Linked DNA regions of Pelodiscus sinensis. Each later gene encodes a partner of the first gene's protein in a complex. Links are inferred from orthologs where the notes say so. Each region holds a gene or a part of one and is shown in the gene's direction. Other genes may lie near its edges. The genes, in order: POGLUT1 and NOTCH1.

Region 1 (8,183 bases):
ATAATGAAAATGGGTTTTTGCTGGTACTTGTCCTCGTAGAAAAACGGAGGGAGAAATGATATTTGAAACCAGGCATTGAGGATCACAGTCAGTGGTTCCTCCCACAAAGCTCCAGGCTTAGGGGGAAATTGAAGAGAGGAGGTGAGGAGAAGTAAGCTTGGTGTTTGAAATGAGAATGAAGGGATTCCGATTAAGCTCCTAGCCAAATCACTTTGGGAAGGCTCCAAGCTTAAGCAAAGCTGCATATTCCAAAAGCAAACACCACTGGCCCGGGGTACTTTCATTACAGAAGACCAGGAGAGAGAGAAGAAAGGAAGGAAAGAGAGAGAGAGAGAGAATTACTAGGTTCACAGGAGTTTCATCTCAAACTTGACCATGAAGGTGAATTTACATCAAATAAGCTGGGCCCTAGAAAGACTTAGTGGCTATTGACCGTTTCTGCTGGCTACATCTCCTACTGTCTGCCTCAGAAAGAGCACTGCAAATAATAATCTTCAGCTGTACAGTACTACAATCCGACTGGCTGTGCAGCAGGTTGGCATGCAAACTACAAGAGGTAACCACAAAGAGAAAATTGACATTGACCCAGGACAATGAGTAGGGTATCAGAGACCCCAATGGGGAAATATGTTCTGAAACTTGAAATGGGAGACAAGCAGAGAACAACACTATTACAGTAATAGTAATAGCGGATCAGGTATGTAGAAAGGCCCAGAGTGACACAGGAGGTCTAAGGCAACTTCACAAGTTACAAAGATGTAAGGCATTCATGTTATGGTTACTTACTCAAGCTTTTGTAAGATTTACAAGAGTAGCCAACACAATTTATAGGCAGCAGGTATAAAACAAATATAGAGAAATACTTCACAAAATGCACAGTCAACCTGTGGAGCTCATTGCCAGGGTATGTTGTGAAAGCCAGAACTATAACAGGATTTTAAAAAGAATGAGATAGGTTCATAAGGATAGAATAGGACTATTAGCCAAGATGGTCAGAGATGCTAGCTTCTGTTCTGGATGCTGAGACTGGATGACAGGGGATGGATCACTTGACCGTTGCCTTAATCAGTTCATTCCCTTTGAAGCAACTGGCATCGGCTACTGTTGGTAGACAGGACACTGGGCTAGGTGGAGCTTTGGTCAGACCTAGTATGATCATTCTTATGTTCTTAATTTTAGAACTATTCATATCACTTGCACAGATGCAGCATTGTACCCTTAGAACAGGAACAGAACAATAGATTCTGTTTATGCAGAAAGCAATAAGGCTGCTTCTGACAACCACCACTGAAAGGAGCTGATATTTTCCTCTTTTTTGGGGGGGGAGGCTAATATGGGGTAAGAAGAGTTTGGGACCAGCATATGAGAAATGCCTTGGATTTTCCAATTTCTCACTATAGGTAGTGTTACCACTTTTGACCTAAGAAGCTAGTCACAATTTGGGCCCTACAGGTGTTCCCATTTGGAAGAGAAATCTGCAATGGGTCCAGGTATCTTTAATGCAATCTTGTTTGTTTATAGAGAATGTACAATGTTCTGTTTCCCTGAACACAAGATGAGCCAAACATCAGGAGAGCCTCGCAGTCCTATATTTCTTTTAGCCAGCAACTGGCCCCAAAGCTCTCTCTCTCTAAGCTTTTCCAGGATGACATATTAAGTGCTTGTTCAGGGCATTACTGATTCTGCCTTCTCTCTCAGCTTCTCTGTAGTTTCTTAGAAATCAGATGAGATCAGTGTCAGAGATGCCCGGGTTTTTTTTGGGGGGGGGGAGGGGGGAATTACAAAGCAAAAGGAAAATAAAGAAAAAGCTTGTTGTCTGTACCTATAATTTTCAGACAAGACCCCCAGGACAGCTCACCTCCTTCCAAGCTTTCCTGTCGGCATAGTAGCATCTTCAGTAAAGTGATACAGTGGCCTAGCTGTTCCACTGCCGCACTGTACATGAAGTCAAGACCTAAGACCAGAAAGGACCAATGTGATCATCTAGTCTGACCTCCTACATAACACAAGCTAGAGAACACCGAGATATTATTATGATATGCTTATGGCATAATTATGATGTATTTTATTCAGTATAGGCCATGTGAGGTATCATTGAAAAGGTTATGATTTGCTGAATATGATTATCCTATTTGTTCTGGTATCCTGGAAAAACACCCCAGTCTAGAGGTACCCTAAGTCATATCCATTATCAAGTTTGTGCTCCTCATATGGGTACTTAGGGTACATCTACACAATAGTGTTATTTCAGAATAACTGATGTTATTCCAAAATAACATAGTCCGCATCTAAACTATAATAATGTTGAAATAATGGCGAACTGGAGGACTACTTATGCTGACTCCTGTAACCCTTATTTTATGAGGCATAAAAGAAGTCAGAGGAAGAGTGCTCTGCCTCAGACTTCTTGCTGTGTAGATAGCATCAATAGCCAAAATAAGCTATTTTGGCTTAGGCTACACAATAGACATTGCTGAAGTTGCGTAGCTTATTTCAGATTTAGCCCTGCTGTGTATCATGCCCTATAGACTGAATGAGTCATAAAAACATAGGAACAGCCATCCAGGATCAGACCAAAGGTCCATCTAGCCCAGTATCCTGTCTTCCGAGAGTGGCCAATGCCAGATGCCTCACAGGGAGTGGACAGAACAGGAAATCTTCAAATGATCTCTTTCCTGTCATCCATTTCCAGGCACTTACTGACAAACAGAGGCTAGGGACACCATTCCTACCTATCCTGGCCATTGATGGACCTAACCTCCATGAATTTATCTAGTTCTTTTTTTAACCCTGTTCAAGTCCTGGTCTTCACAAAATCCCCTGGCAAGGAGTTCCACAAGTTGTCTGTGTGCTGCATGAAGAAAAACTTCTTTTTGTTTGTTTTAAACCTGCTACCTATTAATTTCATTTGGGGACCTCTAGTTCTTGCGTTCTGGGAACAAGTAAATAACTTTTCCTTATTCACTTTTTTCCACGCAAGTCATGATTTTACAGACCTCTATCATATCCTCCCTTCGTCTCCTGTTTCTCTAAGCTAAAAAGTCCCAGGCTTTTTAATCTCTCTTCATATGGAACCTATTCCAAACCCCTCATCATTTTTGTTGCCTGTTTCTGAAACTTTTCCACTGCAAATATGCCTTTTTTGAGATGAGGCCACCATATCTGTATACAGTATTCAAGATGCGGGTGTACCATCGTTTTATATAGGCACAATAAGATAAGAGTCTTATTCTCTATCCTTTTTAAATGATTTCTAACATTCTTTTTGCTTTTTGAACTGCTGCTGCTGCCCATTAAGTGGATGTTTTCAGAGGACTCTCCATAATGACTCCAAGATCTCGCTCTTGAGGGGTTATAGTTAAATTAGTACCCATCCTTTTGCATGTATAGTCGAGATTATTTTTCCAGCATGCATTCCTCTACATTTATCAATGTTACCTTTCATGTGCCATTTTGTTGCCCAATCACATAGTTTGGTGAGATCTTTTTGAAGCTGTTCACAGTCTGCTTTGGTCTTAACTATCCTGAGCAGTTTAGTATCATTTGCAAATTTTGCCACTTCACTGTTTACCCCTTTCCCCAGATCATTTATAAATAGGTTGAATAGGATTTGTCCCAGTACGGACCGTTGGGGAACACCGCTAGTTACCTCTCTCCATTCTGAAAACTTTGTATCCTGTCTTTTAAGTAGTAATCAGTCCATGAGAGTACCTTCCCTCTGATCCCATGACAACTTCCGTGACTTAAGAGCCTTTGGTGAGGGACCTTGTCAAAAGCTTTCTAAAATCTAAATCCACTATATCCACTGGTTCCCCCTTGTCCAAAGGTTTGTTGACTCCCCTCAAAGCACTCTTGTAGATTTGTAAGGCGTGATTTTCCTTTACAGAAACCATGTTGACTTTCTCCCAACATCAGTCTGACAATTTAATTCCTGACCATAGCTTCAACTAATTTGCCCGGTACTGATGTTAGACTTACTGGTCTGTAATTACCAGAATCACCTTTAGAGCCCTTTTTAAATATTGGCATCACATTAGCTATCTTCCAGTCATTAGGTACAGAAGCTGATTAAACGACAGATTACCAACCACAGTTAATAGTTCCACAATTTCACATTTGAGTTCTTTTGGAAATCTTGGGTGAATGCCATTTAGTCCGGGTGTATTGCCCCTTAACCATCTCTTTTTTAAGCTACATTGATTGAGCTTTCAGAGTCACTATCAAGCAGGTTTTAAATCCTTTCATCATTCTTGTAGCTCGTCTCTGAACGTTTTCTGATTTATCAACTTCCTTTTCCAATTACTGATAGCATTATTCCAGCAATGGTAGCACTAATGCTCTGGCCAGGGAGTGCTGAGACCCAGCTTCTAGCAAGAGACCCACTCAGCCCTGGCTGCTGCACCCCCTGGCTTGAAGTTATTTCTATCCCACAGGGTTTAGAGCTGGGCTCAATGGCTCACCGCACCTCCTACTCACCCCACTGGTGGTGTTCACATTCCTAGTGTCGACAGCCAGACCAGCTGGCTTGGTGAGCAGCCCAGGGGCCTCAGGGCTGGGGCCACCCCACAGTTGCTCCTGGGCAGGGAGGGGCTGTGCTCCATATACTGAGCTGTGATGTGCCAACTCGGGCACTACAACTCCCATCAGGTAAAGCGAGTCGGTCCCGGATGTGGAATTGACTATAGCGGCGACCATCTTTGTGCGGGGCACCGTGTCCCTTTCTCCCCTGCGGTGGCGGCCATCTTTGTGCAGGGCGCTTCTTCCTCCCGCCCTTCTACATTTTTTTTTTCTTCTGAATCAGCTATCGGCCTGATGGAACGCAGAGGGGCCGGCTCGCCGCGCGCAGGCGCAGTGCGGGGGGGGGGGGCAGCGGCAGCTGTCCGCCGGGCTGCACAATGGGGCCGCTGGTGGCCTGGGCGCTGCGAGCGGCGGCTCTGTCCCAGCTCGTGCTCAGCCAGGGGAGCAGCGCTGCAGGTGAGAGGCTGCGACCGGGAGGGGCGGGGCGCGCTCCCCCACTCTCCTTCCCCCCGGCACTGGGGAGCGGGGTGTGTCTCCCGCCCCCCGAGCCCCGTCCCCCGCTGCAGCCTCCAGCGCCGCCTCTCCCTCGCTCAGCCCCACGTGTGCCGGGCCGAGCCCTCCCCAGCGCCTCTTGCCTCCTGCCCGGCTGGGACCCTGCTCCCGGGCCTGCGCCACCCTAGGCAACGCCGCCTTTGCGGCTGCCCCTGCCTCTTCTGTTTGGCTCAGCCTCCTGCTGGTCACTGCGCCCGCTCGCCCCTCTTCCTCCGAGTGACCCGCCCGCCCTGCGCAGATGCTCTCTGCAGCGGAGCGGCCCCGCGCTACCCCTAGCGTGGGAAACGGATGCAAACTCCCTGCGTCTTGTAGCCTGTTTGTACTTAGCTAGGGGCTGCAGAGATTAGCCCCCGGGCTTGCCTGTCCGGAGCTGGAAGTGGGGTTGGATGCGTGCGGGGCGTACAGCAGGGGCAGGCTGAGGGAGGCGGCCCTAGTGGGGCACTTAGCTTGCCTCAAAGACACCCTTTAGAACAGGGGTGCCCCAGAGAAAGCCTTGTTTGTTGGGCTTAGCATCCCGTGTTTTCCTGCACCTCTCGTATCTGCCTGGTTTTTTTCGTCTTTGAACCAACTTGTCACTAAAGAATGCAAACCAGGGTTTCTAGAAGCAGTTCTTTTGCTGGTGGAATGAGGGGGCTGTGTCTCAGTCTTATTTAATATGCAATATAAAAGGAGGCTATAAGCTCTTTGGGACAGGGACTGTTTACTGAAGGTTGTGTAGCACACATCATTAGAGCTCTCTGTGCTGATACAAAATTTGTATCCGCATCTACATCTGCAAAAATGAGCCACGGATATCCACATTTGTGGATGTGGATACCTGTGGCTATAAAGCGGATAGCTGTGGATTTGCAGGGCTCTCCACACTGTAACTCTATCTCTGGGTCTTTCTGTAATACAAACAAATTTTATATAGAGAACCTCCGCACAGCACCTGATTATTAAAAAAAAACACTTTGTCCACTGCTGAAGGGCAGTTATCTGAAGTGGAGTAAGCCAGTTGTTCAACAGCACACAGTAACGTTAAAGGAGAACTTAGGACAGGAGATGAATGTTACTATAGCTAAATGAAGCTAGAGTGGAACAGAAGTAGGTGAATGTTAAATCACCCAAATTCCCATTTATCTCACACACAGACATAACTCTCTATAAGTATAGGGGATATATCATGGGACAGAAGCTGTCAACCTTTTTCTTGTTAAGGCTCCCCTGAACATGCTATAAAAACTGAGGATGTTAAAATGTATTTATTGAAAATGTCATCTGTTACGCATTCACATGCCGGGGTGGGAGGGAGCTGGCTTTTAAGCTGGCTCACCACACATGCTGACTTTGTGCCTGCCCACCCACCCCCTCTGCAGCATGAGGGTGGGGGGGGGGGGATTGTGTATGATTGTGAAGGTTAATCAATGAGCCCAGGTTCATCAATTAACCATGGACACATTTATACTTTCACATGCCTAATAAAAACTCTAGAGCTTTGGGGCTCTGGGCTGAGGGGCAAGACCCTTGCTCATAGGAATAGTTTTAATTTTTTGGAGAGGGGATAAGGGCTGCTGGTGGTTGGGCCAGCTCTGCACAGGGGAGCCAGGGAAGAAGTGCCACTGAGTTGTGGAAGGAAACAACCAAAATTATAACTCAAAGTGTGTGTGGGGAGAAGGTGGGGGGAGAGAGAAATTCAGCTCAGAAATTTTGAAAACTGCTCAGGGTGCAGGCTGGGGTTAGCTAGGAGCTGTGTACTGGTATGGGGATAGTTAAGGGTGAAGGCAGGGGAATAGGTTTGGCAGAGAGGTAGCTAAGGGTGCAGGCAGAGGTGAGGGCTTCCAATGTAGTTCCCAGTTTAAATGGGGGCAGGAGCGCTGGAGTGGCTAACGTGAGGACGGGGGAGTGGGAGGCTGGTTTCTGCCTTGTGCTGCACCTGTGGGACACTGTAGCACAAGGCACCAGGTTTCAACCTCAGGGTGCTGCGGTCTCCCTGAAAGGGCTCACAGGCTCTGAGTTGAGAACTACTGCCATGGGATCTTACAGGCTGTGAATTGTCAGGAATACTCCTCCTCCCATCCCATCCCCCTAGGGTTGCCAGGTTTCCGGTTTTCTACCAGACAGTCCGGTTTTTGTGCCCTCTGTCTGGTAAAAAAAAATTCAGAAAATACTGGACTGTGCAATGTCTGGTATTTTCTGTTTTTCTGGCTGGGCGCCGGACGGAAGCCTGGCAGGGGCGGGGGGAGTGGCTGGGAGGCGGGGCTGCGATCGGCGCTTGGAGCCTGTGGTCGCGTGCAAAAGCCTGGCGGGGGTGGGGGGAGTGGCTGGGAGTCCTGGCCACTCCCCCAGCCCCCACCAGGATTCTGCACACAACCAGAGGGAGTCCCAGGCTGGGAGGCGGAGCCGTGATCTGGTTGCATGCAGAAGCCTGGTGGGGCACAATTGGTGCTGGGAGCCCTCAGCAGATTGCATCTGGGGAGGAGGAGAAGCCCTGTCCCTGCTCCTGAGCGCTGTTCAATTGCATTGTGGTGCGGGGAGAGAAGCCCTGAGGTGCTTTATAATTGCGTTTAGGCGCCTTCCATGGACTCTCAGCCAAAACTGACTGGGGTGGAATTTCTGCTTCTTCCCATTGGGACACCCAAAGACCTGGCTATGGGGGAGTCATCTTCCTGCCTTGAGGGCGGGGGGCTGGACTCGATGACCTCTCGAGGTCCCTTCCAGTCCTATTATTCTATGATTTATTCTATGATTCCTACCCATGGTCGCTTCCGCCCCCTGCCCTGCCATTGTGTTGCCCCGGGGTCTGCGCCTCTCTGCTCTGGGTAGCAGGCAGCTGCTTTGCAGAGCAGGTTCTGCTGCCTCCACCTTTGTTCCTAGCTTGGTGGTTCTTGGTAGTAGCCACACAGGATGTGTGTTCAGTGTGGGTGGTTTGGTTTGGTTTTTTTTTTTTGCTTGACAAATTTTTAGCCCATGTGTTTGGTATTTTTTGGGAGACCATCTGGCAACCCTACATCCCCCAATGAAGTGGTTGGAGGTGGCATGTTATCATGTTGTACCACACTTGGGGATTTCTTTTATACTTACTTTAAAGGCTGCTACCCACTGAGTTGGCAGTACTCTTCTGCACAAGAAAC
Region 2 (8,597 bases), on another chromosome or scaffold:
GGCGTTTTGTGCAAGAACAGTTGTTCTTGCGCAAAAACTTGCCGGGTGTCTACACTGCACGCGTGTTCTTGCGCAAGTAAAAAAACAGTTCTTGCGCAAGAAGCCTGCAGTGTAGACGTAGCCTTGGGGTATACATTGCTTTGAATCTCTATCCCGAGAGCTGGAGCCACTTGGAGAAGGGAGGATCATTACTTGACACGAGTCCCATTTTACGGGGTGGGGGTAGGCAGCACGCAGAGGCAAAGGCCGCCGGTTCCGAAGTTGGGTGCTTAAAGCGAGGTACCTAGGCTTGGATTTTCAGAGGTGACGCCATTCACAGTCACTCGGGAAGTCACAGCCCCAAAGCCACGCTCTCTGGAAGGACAGATGACACCCGGGAAAGGAAGAGAGCATACAAATACACTGTGGGGCTCTTCCCTTTGATCTCCCGGACAGACTGTCCTCTTAGGTGTTTAATTTCTTTCACACTCCCTCTGGAAGTAAGTTACAGCAGGAAATAGGGGGTAACAGCTCCGAGAAGGACAGGAGGGGCCTTTGGAGCTGGAGTGGACAAGGGAGGAGGAAGAGGTGTTACTTCTATTCATTAACCCATTCCGGAGTCAGTCTCTCTTTCCCCTTCCCTCCCCTTTAACCAAATGCAAACTAACTTGGGCAAGCATGTTCTCCAGCTCTGACGTTATTACCAAGTGGAGGTTCAACAGAACCATGTTTTGAGGAGGGAGAAAAAGGGTTCTCTTTGGCCTCTGAGGACAGGACAAGAAGCGATGGGCTTAAATTTCAGCAAGGGAGGTTTAGATTGGACATTAGGAAAAACTTCCCACCTGTCAGGCTGGTGAAGCACTGGAATAAATTGCCTCTGGAGGTTGTGGCATCTCCATCTGTGGTGATTTTTAAGAGCAGACAAACATCGGTCAGGGATGGTCTTGATTCTGAGTCCTGCCATGAGGGCAGGAGACTGCATTTGACCTCCCCAGGTTCCTTCCAGTTCTAGGACTCCATGATTTGGAGACAAAGGAGGGACAAAAGAGCTACAGCTGGCTCAGGACAATGCATCGGTCCTGTTTTCACTTGGACTCCCCTGAAATGATCGTCAGCCCATCGCATGGCGGAAATGCTTTGCTATCCGACCCTGCAGGCCCAACCCTGCCCCAGGATGCTTTCACAAGCTATCTTCATATATCATTGTTTGCGGTGGTGGATCTCATTGAAAGATTAGTGCCAGGTTGCAAACAGACAGAGCTGTACACTAGTGGGTTGAGCCCAGAGATGAGAGCCTATGCATCTTTCCTGACTTTGCCACTGACTTGCTGCATGACCTTGGGCGAATCCCTTGGGCCTTGCACACAGCGAGTTTTTCTTCCACATTTCCCACGGTTGCACTAGCCAGTGATGTGGGAGCAAAAGAGGAAGCACTAATGTAGACAAGGCACTGGTATTTTTGCCACCATCCAAGCAGGACTGAGCAACACAGTAGAAGGGGAGAGGGAACATGCGCATTCCCACCCTTGCCGGCACTGTTAGTACTACTTCACTGGTGGGCTGTGTCTACACTGGGCCACTTATTCCGGAAAATCAGCCGCTTTTCCAGAATAAGCTGCGAGCTCTCTACACTGGCCCTTGAATTTCCGGAAAAGCAACGACGCTCTACTGTACAAAATCAGCTGCTATTCCGGAAAAGCTACGCTGCTCCCGCTCGGGCATAAGTCCTTATTCCGGAACACTGTTCCGGAAAAGGGCCAGTGTAGACAGCCCAGTAGTCTTTTCCGGAAAAAAGCCCCGATCGCGAAAATGGCAATCGGGGCTCTTTTCCGGAAAAGCGCGTCTACATTGGCCACAGATGCTTTTCCGGAAAAAGGGCTTTTCTGGAAAAGCAGCCTGCCAATGTAGACGCTCTTTTTCCGGAAATACTTATAACGAAAACTATTCTGTTTTAAGCATTTCCGGAAATTCATGCCAGTGTAGACACAGCCATGGTGTAATAGTGGGACAGGTGAAGGGAAAAGTTCACTATAGAGACAGACTTTGGCCCACATTTTCAAACACAAGGGCCTCGAATTTAGGCACCTAGACAGATGGCTGGGACTGCATAATAATTGCTGAGAGGTGCTAAGGTGGGGCAGGACATGTGACTGAATTCAACTCTTAGTATCATCGTTAAATCCTACAGGTGATCACATTTAAGAACCCATCCTGCCCCAGACAGAAATCCTATTGACTCCAGAGACATCTCTCCCTTGGATGACCAGGGCCTGAGATGGGTTTGTTAGTGTAAGGGAGAGCTAGAGGAACAGGGTCCTCAGAATAAAATACAGAGGTAGCACTGGCACATGGCAGCAGCCAGAATTTAATGTTGCACTGGCTGAAAATTTACTCAACCTGGGTTTTTTTCCCCTCTGGCCTCTGGAGTTGGCTTCCAGGCCGTCTTTTATTTAATTAGCTGCTTTTTTATTTATTGTTGGCCAGAGTTTGGGTTGAAAGTTCAGAAGTTTACAGCACAAAGGAAATAAACAGGCAGGCCTCACTCGGTTTCTTCCCTCTGGTCCACGCATTCCCAATAGGCAGGCGCCTGGGGGTGAATACATCTTTGTTCGGATTGTTTTGGTCCTTCACTTCACTGTTTGTCACCTAGAGCATTCCAGGAGCAAAAGTCGACCACTCAGACAAGATCGGGGAGCCTCAAAGGTGGCTGAGATTGGGAGACTTAGAGGGGCAGTTTTTCCAAGGTTGACACAAAAGGTGGCTTCACAGATCTGTTTATTCACCTGTTGCATTTGCCAAACTTGGAGCTGCTCGCACTGCACCTGCAAAAATGCAGGTTGCATCCACGGAGCCTGTGAAAACGCAGCCCCTGGACAACTTAACAGACCTCTCCCCCCCCCCCCCCCCCCCCCCCCGACTGACTAGCCCAGTGTTTCTTAAACTTTTTGAGACCACGGAAAACCAAACAATAATACTTTTTATGCAGAACACCTATGAACACCAATTTGTTGTCAGACAAAAAAAGACAAAAACAAATAAGTAACAAAAACAAAGAAGAGTTGACGAGTTGTTCACGGACACCAGTGTTCCACGGAACATAGTTTAAGAAACACTGGACTAGCCCGTCAGCAAGGCAGGCAAACCTCCTGGCTCTCATAACAGCCCCCACCGAGTTACCTGCCCTGATAGGCAGCATGCACCAAGCAGGCTCTGGGAGGTGCAGGGGTTGAGTGCACATTTTTTGAGTGCATCCTTGTGCCTGTATTTGAATACTGTCCCAGATCCGTCACCCTGTCTGGCCCTCAGGGACTAGTCCCACAGACCTTGTGGGGGGCTCTACTTTCTTCCCACTCCAAGTAACTGATACACACACATACACAGACACACCCAGCCTCTAGCAGCACCCAGCTCCTGCCCCACACATACACAGACACACGTGCACACACACACACACACACACTCACTCAGACACACGCAGACATGCAGACTCACTCACAGACACACGTGTACACACGTGCGCACACACATGAACACTTAGACACATACACTCACACATTCTCACACACAGGCACATACACACGCGCTCTCACACAGACACATCATGCACAAACACTCACACACGCACAAACACACATACACACACAGATACACTCACTCTCACAGACACATCATGCACAAACACTCACACACACACACACACACTCACTCTCACAGACACGCATGTACACACACGTGCGCACACACTCTCACAGACACATACACACTCTCACACACGCAGACACACATTCACACAGACGCGTGTACACACATGTGCGCGCACACTCTCTCACACAAACACACGCAGACAGACACACACACACTCTCTCTCACACACCCAGACACACACACGCAGACAGACACACACACACACTCTCTCACACCCAGACTCACACACACACTCTCTCTCACACGCACACACACACACTCTCTCTCACACACCCAGACACACACACGCAGACAGACACACACACACACACACTCTCACACCCAGACTCACACACACACTCTCTCTCTCACACGCACACACACACACACACTCTCTCACACACCCAGACACACACACGCAGACAGACACACACACACACACACTCTCTCACACCCAGACTCACACACACACTCTCTCTCTCACACGCACACACACACTCTCTCACACACCCAGACACACACACACACTCTCTCTGTCACACGCAGACACACACACTCTCTCTCACACACACACACGCAGACACACACACTCTCTCTCTCTCACACCCAGACACGCACACACACTCTCTCTCACACACACACGCAGACAGACACACACTCTCTCTCACACCCAGACACACACACTCTCTCACACCCAGACACACACGCAGACAGACACACACACACACTCTCTCACACCCAGACTCACACACTCTCTCACACACCCAGACACACACACACACTCTCTCACACACACACGCAGACAGACACACACTCTCTCTCACACACACACACGCAGACAGACACACACTCTCTCTCACACACACACACGCAGACACACACACTCTCTCTCTCACACCCAAACACACACACACTCACACACACACACGCAGACAGACACACACTCTCTCTCTCACACGCAGACACACACACACACACTCTCTCTCACACCCAGACACACACCCAGACACACACACACACTCTCTCACACACACACGCAGACAGACACACACTCTCTCTCACACACACACACGCAGACAGACACACACTCTCTCTCACACACACACACGCAGACACACACACTCTCTCTCTCACACCCAAACACACACACACTCTCACACACACACACGCAGACAGACACACACTCTCTCTCTCACACGCAGACACACACACACACACTCTCTCTCACACCCAGACTCACACACACAAACACCCAACTTCCAGCAGCCTGGGAAAGGTCCCGACGCGGCGCAGCCCCCCCCGAGCGCAGGGGCTTGAGGACCAGCTGCCCAACCACTGTCCCGCCCCCTCGCAGCCCGGGGGCCGCTCCCCCCCCCCCGGCCGGGCGGCTGGCTGAGCTCGGGGCACCTGGGCGGAAGGACCAGGGGCGGGGGGCGGGGGGGGGGGGGAATGGGAGGAGAACGCGGCTCGGAGCCGCCGCCTCCTCCTCGCTCGGGGACTCGCAGCCCGAGCTCGCACGGCGCGCCGCGCTCTCCGCGTCTCTGCGCCCCGCGCCGTCCTCCCGCGGAGCGGATCTCGGGGGCCGCCTGAGCCTTTTGGGGGGGCGGGGCCCTGCACGCCCGCCGGCCGGCTGGGGGGGTCGATGCGGCTGTGAGAGGGGGGCCAGGAGCCGCGCCGCGAGAGCCGCCCGCGTGGAGCCCGGAGAGGAGGAATGCAGCTGCTTCTGGTGCAGAGCCTGCTGCTGTCCCTGCTGCCCGCGCTCAGCCGAGGTAGGGGCCGGCCGGGGGCCCGCGTGGGCTGGGGCAGAAGTGAGGGGCGCCCCTGGAGATGGAGCCGGGGAGTCCCTCGCTGGCGAAGGAGAAACTTTCCTCCCCCCTTTCTGTGTCCCGTCTTCCCCTGCCCGGCTCCGGTGCAGCCAGGCGCGGGGACAGGGGGCTTCCGAACCGGGCAGAGCTCCCTCCTGGCGGGGGCTTCCCTGAGAAGCCGGGGCTCAGCCTGAAGCGCAGGTGAACCCCTTTGCAAAGGGCTGCGGCTCGGCTCAGCTCAGGCTGACGGGGGGGGGGGGGAGTTGCCTTCTTATGTGGGGGGAGAGTTGCGTTCCGTGGGGCACTCGTTGTATGTGGTGCATTGCTCTCTGCCACCAGCTGCCCTCGGAGAGGGAATCCGTTTCCTCCCCGAGCCCTTGGATTTTAAAAGATCACAACCCACCTGAGAGGTGTGCGGCTGGCAGGGCGGGGAATCAAGTGTGTGTAACTCCCTCCGCTTAGAAACAATCCTGGGGAGCGGTGAAGTGTGTGTGTGAGAGAGAGAGAGAGAGAGAAAGTTCTCTTAAAACTTTATTCTCTAGAGATCTCCCGAGAGAAGCAAACCTTTAAAAGTTGCCACCACAGGGCTGGATAGCGTGACAGTTTTTGTGACACAAACTGTGTGTGTGTGTGTGTGTGTGTGTGTGTGACACAAACCGTGTGTGTGTGTGTGTGTGTGTGTGTGTGTGTGTGTGTGTGACACAAACCGTGTGTGTGTGTGTGTGTGTGTGTGTGTGTGTGTGTGTGACACAAACCGTGTGTGTGTGTGTGTGTGTGTGTGTGTGTGTGTGTGTGTGTGTGTGTGTGGAGGGGGTTACTTTGGAGAACTGATCTCAGGATACTGTGAATAGTGAAGGGGCTTTTTGGTATGAATTTCTTTTTCTGGGCAGTGGAATATTTCATGTTGCAAAGTTCAGAAAGTGACTCTTTTCCTTGTGTAAAAGTCTCCAAGGGGTGGCCGTGTTAGTCTGTAACTTTGAAAACAACTTTTAAAAAAGCAACAAGTAGCCCTGTGGCACCCTAGAGACTAGCAAACATGTATGTCTAGAGTCACTAGCCTTCGTGGGCAAAACCCACTTCTTCAGATAAGATGTGTTCTGTTAAAGGCTGGGGTATGTAATGAGCAAGCCGGAGATGGGCTGCTTTTTTTTTTATTTTTTGAGAGCCTTGTTAATTTTTTATTTCCTGTTTCTTGAATCTACGTCAGATTTCTTGTTCTCTCAGCCCTTCCTTGCAAGTTTGGGGGCGGATGTCAGAAGCCGTTTTGTTTCTTGTACACGGCAGTAACCTTTGGGGAAACAATCAAATGGAAACTTGTGTAGCAATTCTTCTTTTCGTCAAAAAGGCCCCAAAGTGAAAGATGCGCGAGTTTCACCTAGGTGAGAGGAAAGAGTAGGAAGATATTTTTTAAAAATAATCCCCTTAACATGGGGAGATAAGGTGATGATGAGTCTGCTTGAAAATGCACCACTTCCCTGCCTTAATCCTCACAGCACTGAAAAAATAAGCAACCAAAAACACTGCCTAAGAGTATAAATATGGGGGTAGCATTTAATCACGTGGGTAAAAAGTCTCAGCGCGGGGGAGCCATGTGAAGTCTGTAACTTTAGAAACAAGGACTAGGCCTGTGGCATTTTAGAGACCAACCAAAACAATGTGAGTCCTCTCACTAGCTTTGTAAGGCGGAAAAAGTGCAGCTCCTGTGTTTGGCTGCTAACTTGGATGAGTGGGTTGGCGTCTGCCACCCTGATTCCCACTGAAACCAGGGCCACTGATACAATCAAGGGAGGTTACTAGGGGAAAGCAGCCTGCGGGGAGGAAGCGGGGGGAGGTAAGAAATGAGTCCAGCCTGTATAGCCGTGTGCCATTCCTGCAGGCTGCTCTAGCATGTGCTTTAAAAAAAAAAAAAAGGGTGCCCGGTTGGATCTGTCCCCAATGATTTTTAAACAGAAGCGAGACAGAGGTTTTTATTCTGGAGCGTGCAGGCCAGGGAGTGCAGGACTAAGTATGGGGACCCCTATTGCTCTCTGCCTGGAGTTGCCTTCCGCTGTGTTCATCAGCGTTACACTATAAAGTCAAAAGGCTTAGTCATAGCAAGGGTGTCACCCAGCCTTCCTGGAAGAGCCCTGGGTAGGTACATTTGGGGCTGTCTGGTTTCACTTCACTTTGCATACGCGACCCAAAACTGGCTTCCTTCCCTCCTCCCCAAAGTAAAACAGGGCCGGGGGGCGGCTGGTTGACTCAATCAGATCTTTCAGGCAGCAGGTATTGAGTATCCAGGGCCGTACAGGATTGAGAGCTGCCCTACAGTAAATAATGCAACAAGCGTTTTACAATGGGTCGCTCTGATTTCCCCCTTTGTTAGCAGGCAAGGAAGGCTGTGCTCTGCAGCTGTCGCTTTTTCCCACGCGCAAGGAGGGGAGTGCGCGCCCATGGCTCTGTTCTCCCTCAGTAGGACAGTCTGTAGCCGCTTTTTGTCCTTTTTTTTCTTCCTTTTTTTTTTTTTTTTTTAAATCATGAATATCTGAACAGCCAGACAATTCAGCAGGAGTTTCAGGAGGGTTTTCTGTAGTCAGGACAGGAGCAGTATGTGGTGAGGGATGGGGGGGAGTGGGAAAGGATAGAAACTCTGCGAGCTGGCTGGGAACAAGGTTGGGAGCCGCCTCTGTAATCTGAACTTGTCTGCAGATAACTTGGCTGCTCCGGGGCTGCTTTGAAGAAAAGCAGGAGTGGGGAATCTTTTTTGGGCCGAGGGCGGCTGGCCCACAAAAAAAATCAGGGGCTGCACACCAAAGCCGTGGGGGGGCTGGGCTAGTAGATTTTGTGAGCCCCCCCCAGGCTCTAGGGTGGGGCCAGAAATGAGAGGTTCAGGGTGTGGGAAGTGGGCTACGGTGAGGGGTCTGAGCTAGATGGGGGTGTCTGGGCGGGAGGTCGGGTGCAGGAGCAAAGTGGAGATGGGGGTTTGGGCAGGAGGGGGGTGCAGGAGCAGACTGAGGGTGAGGGATTCTCTGGGAGGGTGCAGTAGCAGGCTAGGGTGCAGGGTCTGGGCGATGCTGGTGCGAAGTACCCAGTTCTGGGGGGCGGGGAGCCCCGAGCCTTGGGGGCTGGATCCAAGCAAGCTGGGGGTGG

What was found.
Region 2: the proteins of POGLUT1 (region 1) and NOTCH1 are in contact, whole or in part, in a crystal structure (PDB 5UB5), measured with the Homo sapiens proteins. The link is inferred for Pelodiscus sinensis from reciprocal best matches to the Homo sapiens genes POGLUT1 and NOTCH1. Residues at the interface, in NP_689518.1 of Homo sapiens: Met103, Phe104, Pro105, Ser106, Arg107, Asp133, Gly170, Pro171, Ala172, Val173, Trp174, Pro178, Thr179, Gly180, Thr214, Asn239, Gln240, Ala241, Val274; in NP_060087.3 of Homo sapiens: Asn454, Glu455, Cys456, Val457, Asn459, Pro460, Cys461, Gln462, Asn463, Asp464, Ala465, Cys467, Gly472, Glu473, Phe474, Val485, His486.

What each region holds. Positions count from the first base shown.
Region 1 is NC_134711.1:163,011,137-163,019,319, reverse strand, and holds the start of POGLUT1 (protein O-glucosyltransferase 1), read left to right. Parts: upstream 1-4,790; 5' UTR 4,791-4,895; coding exon 4,896-4,974; intron 4,975-8,183. UniProt on the Homo sapiens protein: Dual specificity glycosyltransferase that catalyzes the transfer of glucose and xylose from UDP-glucose and UDP-xylose, respectively, to a serine residue found in the consensus sequence of C-X-S-X-P-C.
Region 2 is NC_134732.1:20,254,855-20,263,451, forward strand, and holds the start of NOTCH1 (neurogenic locus notch homolog protein 1), read left to right. Parts: upstream 1-5,149; 5' UTR 5,150-5,374; coding exon 5,375-5,432; intron 5,433-8,597. UniProt on the Homo sapiens protein: Functions as a receptor for membrane-bound ligands Jagged-1 (JAG1), Jagged-2 (JAG2) and Delta-1 (DLL1) to regulate cell-fate determination.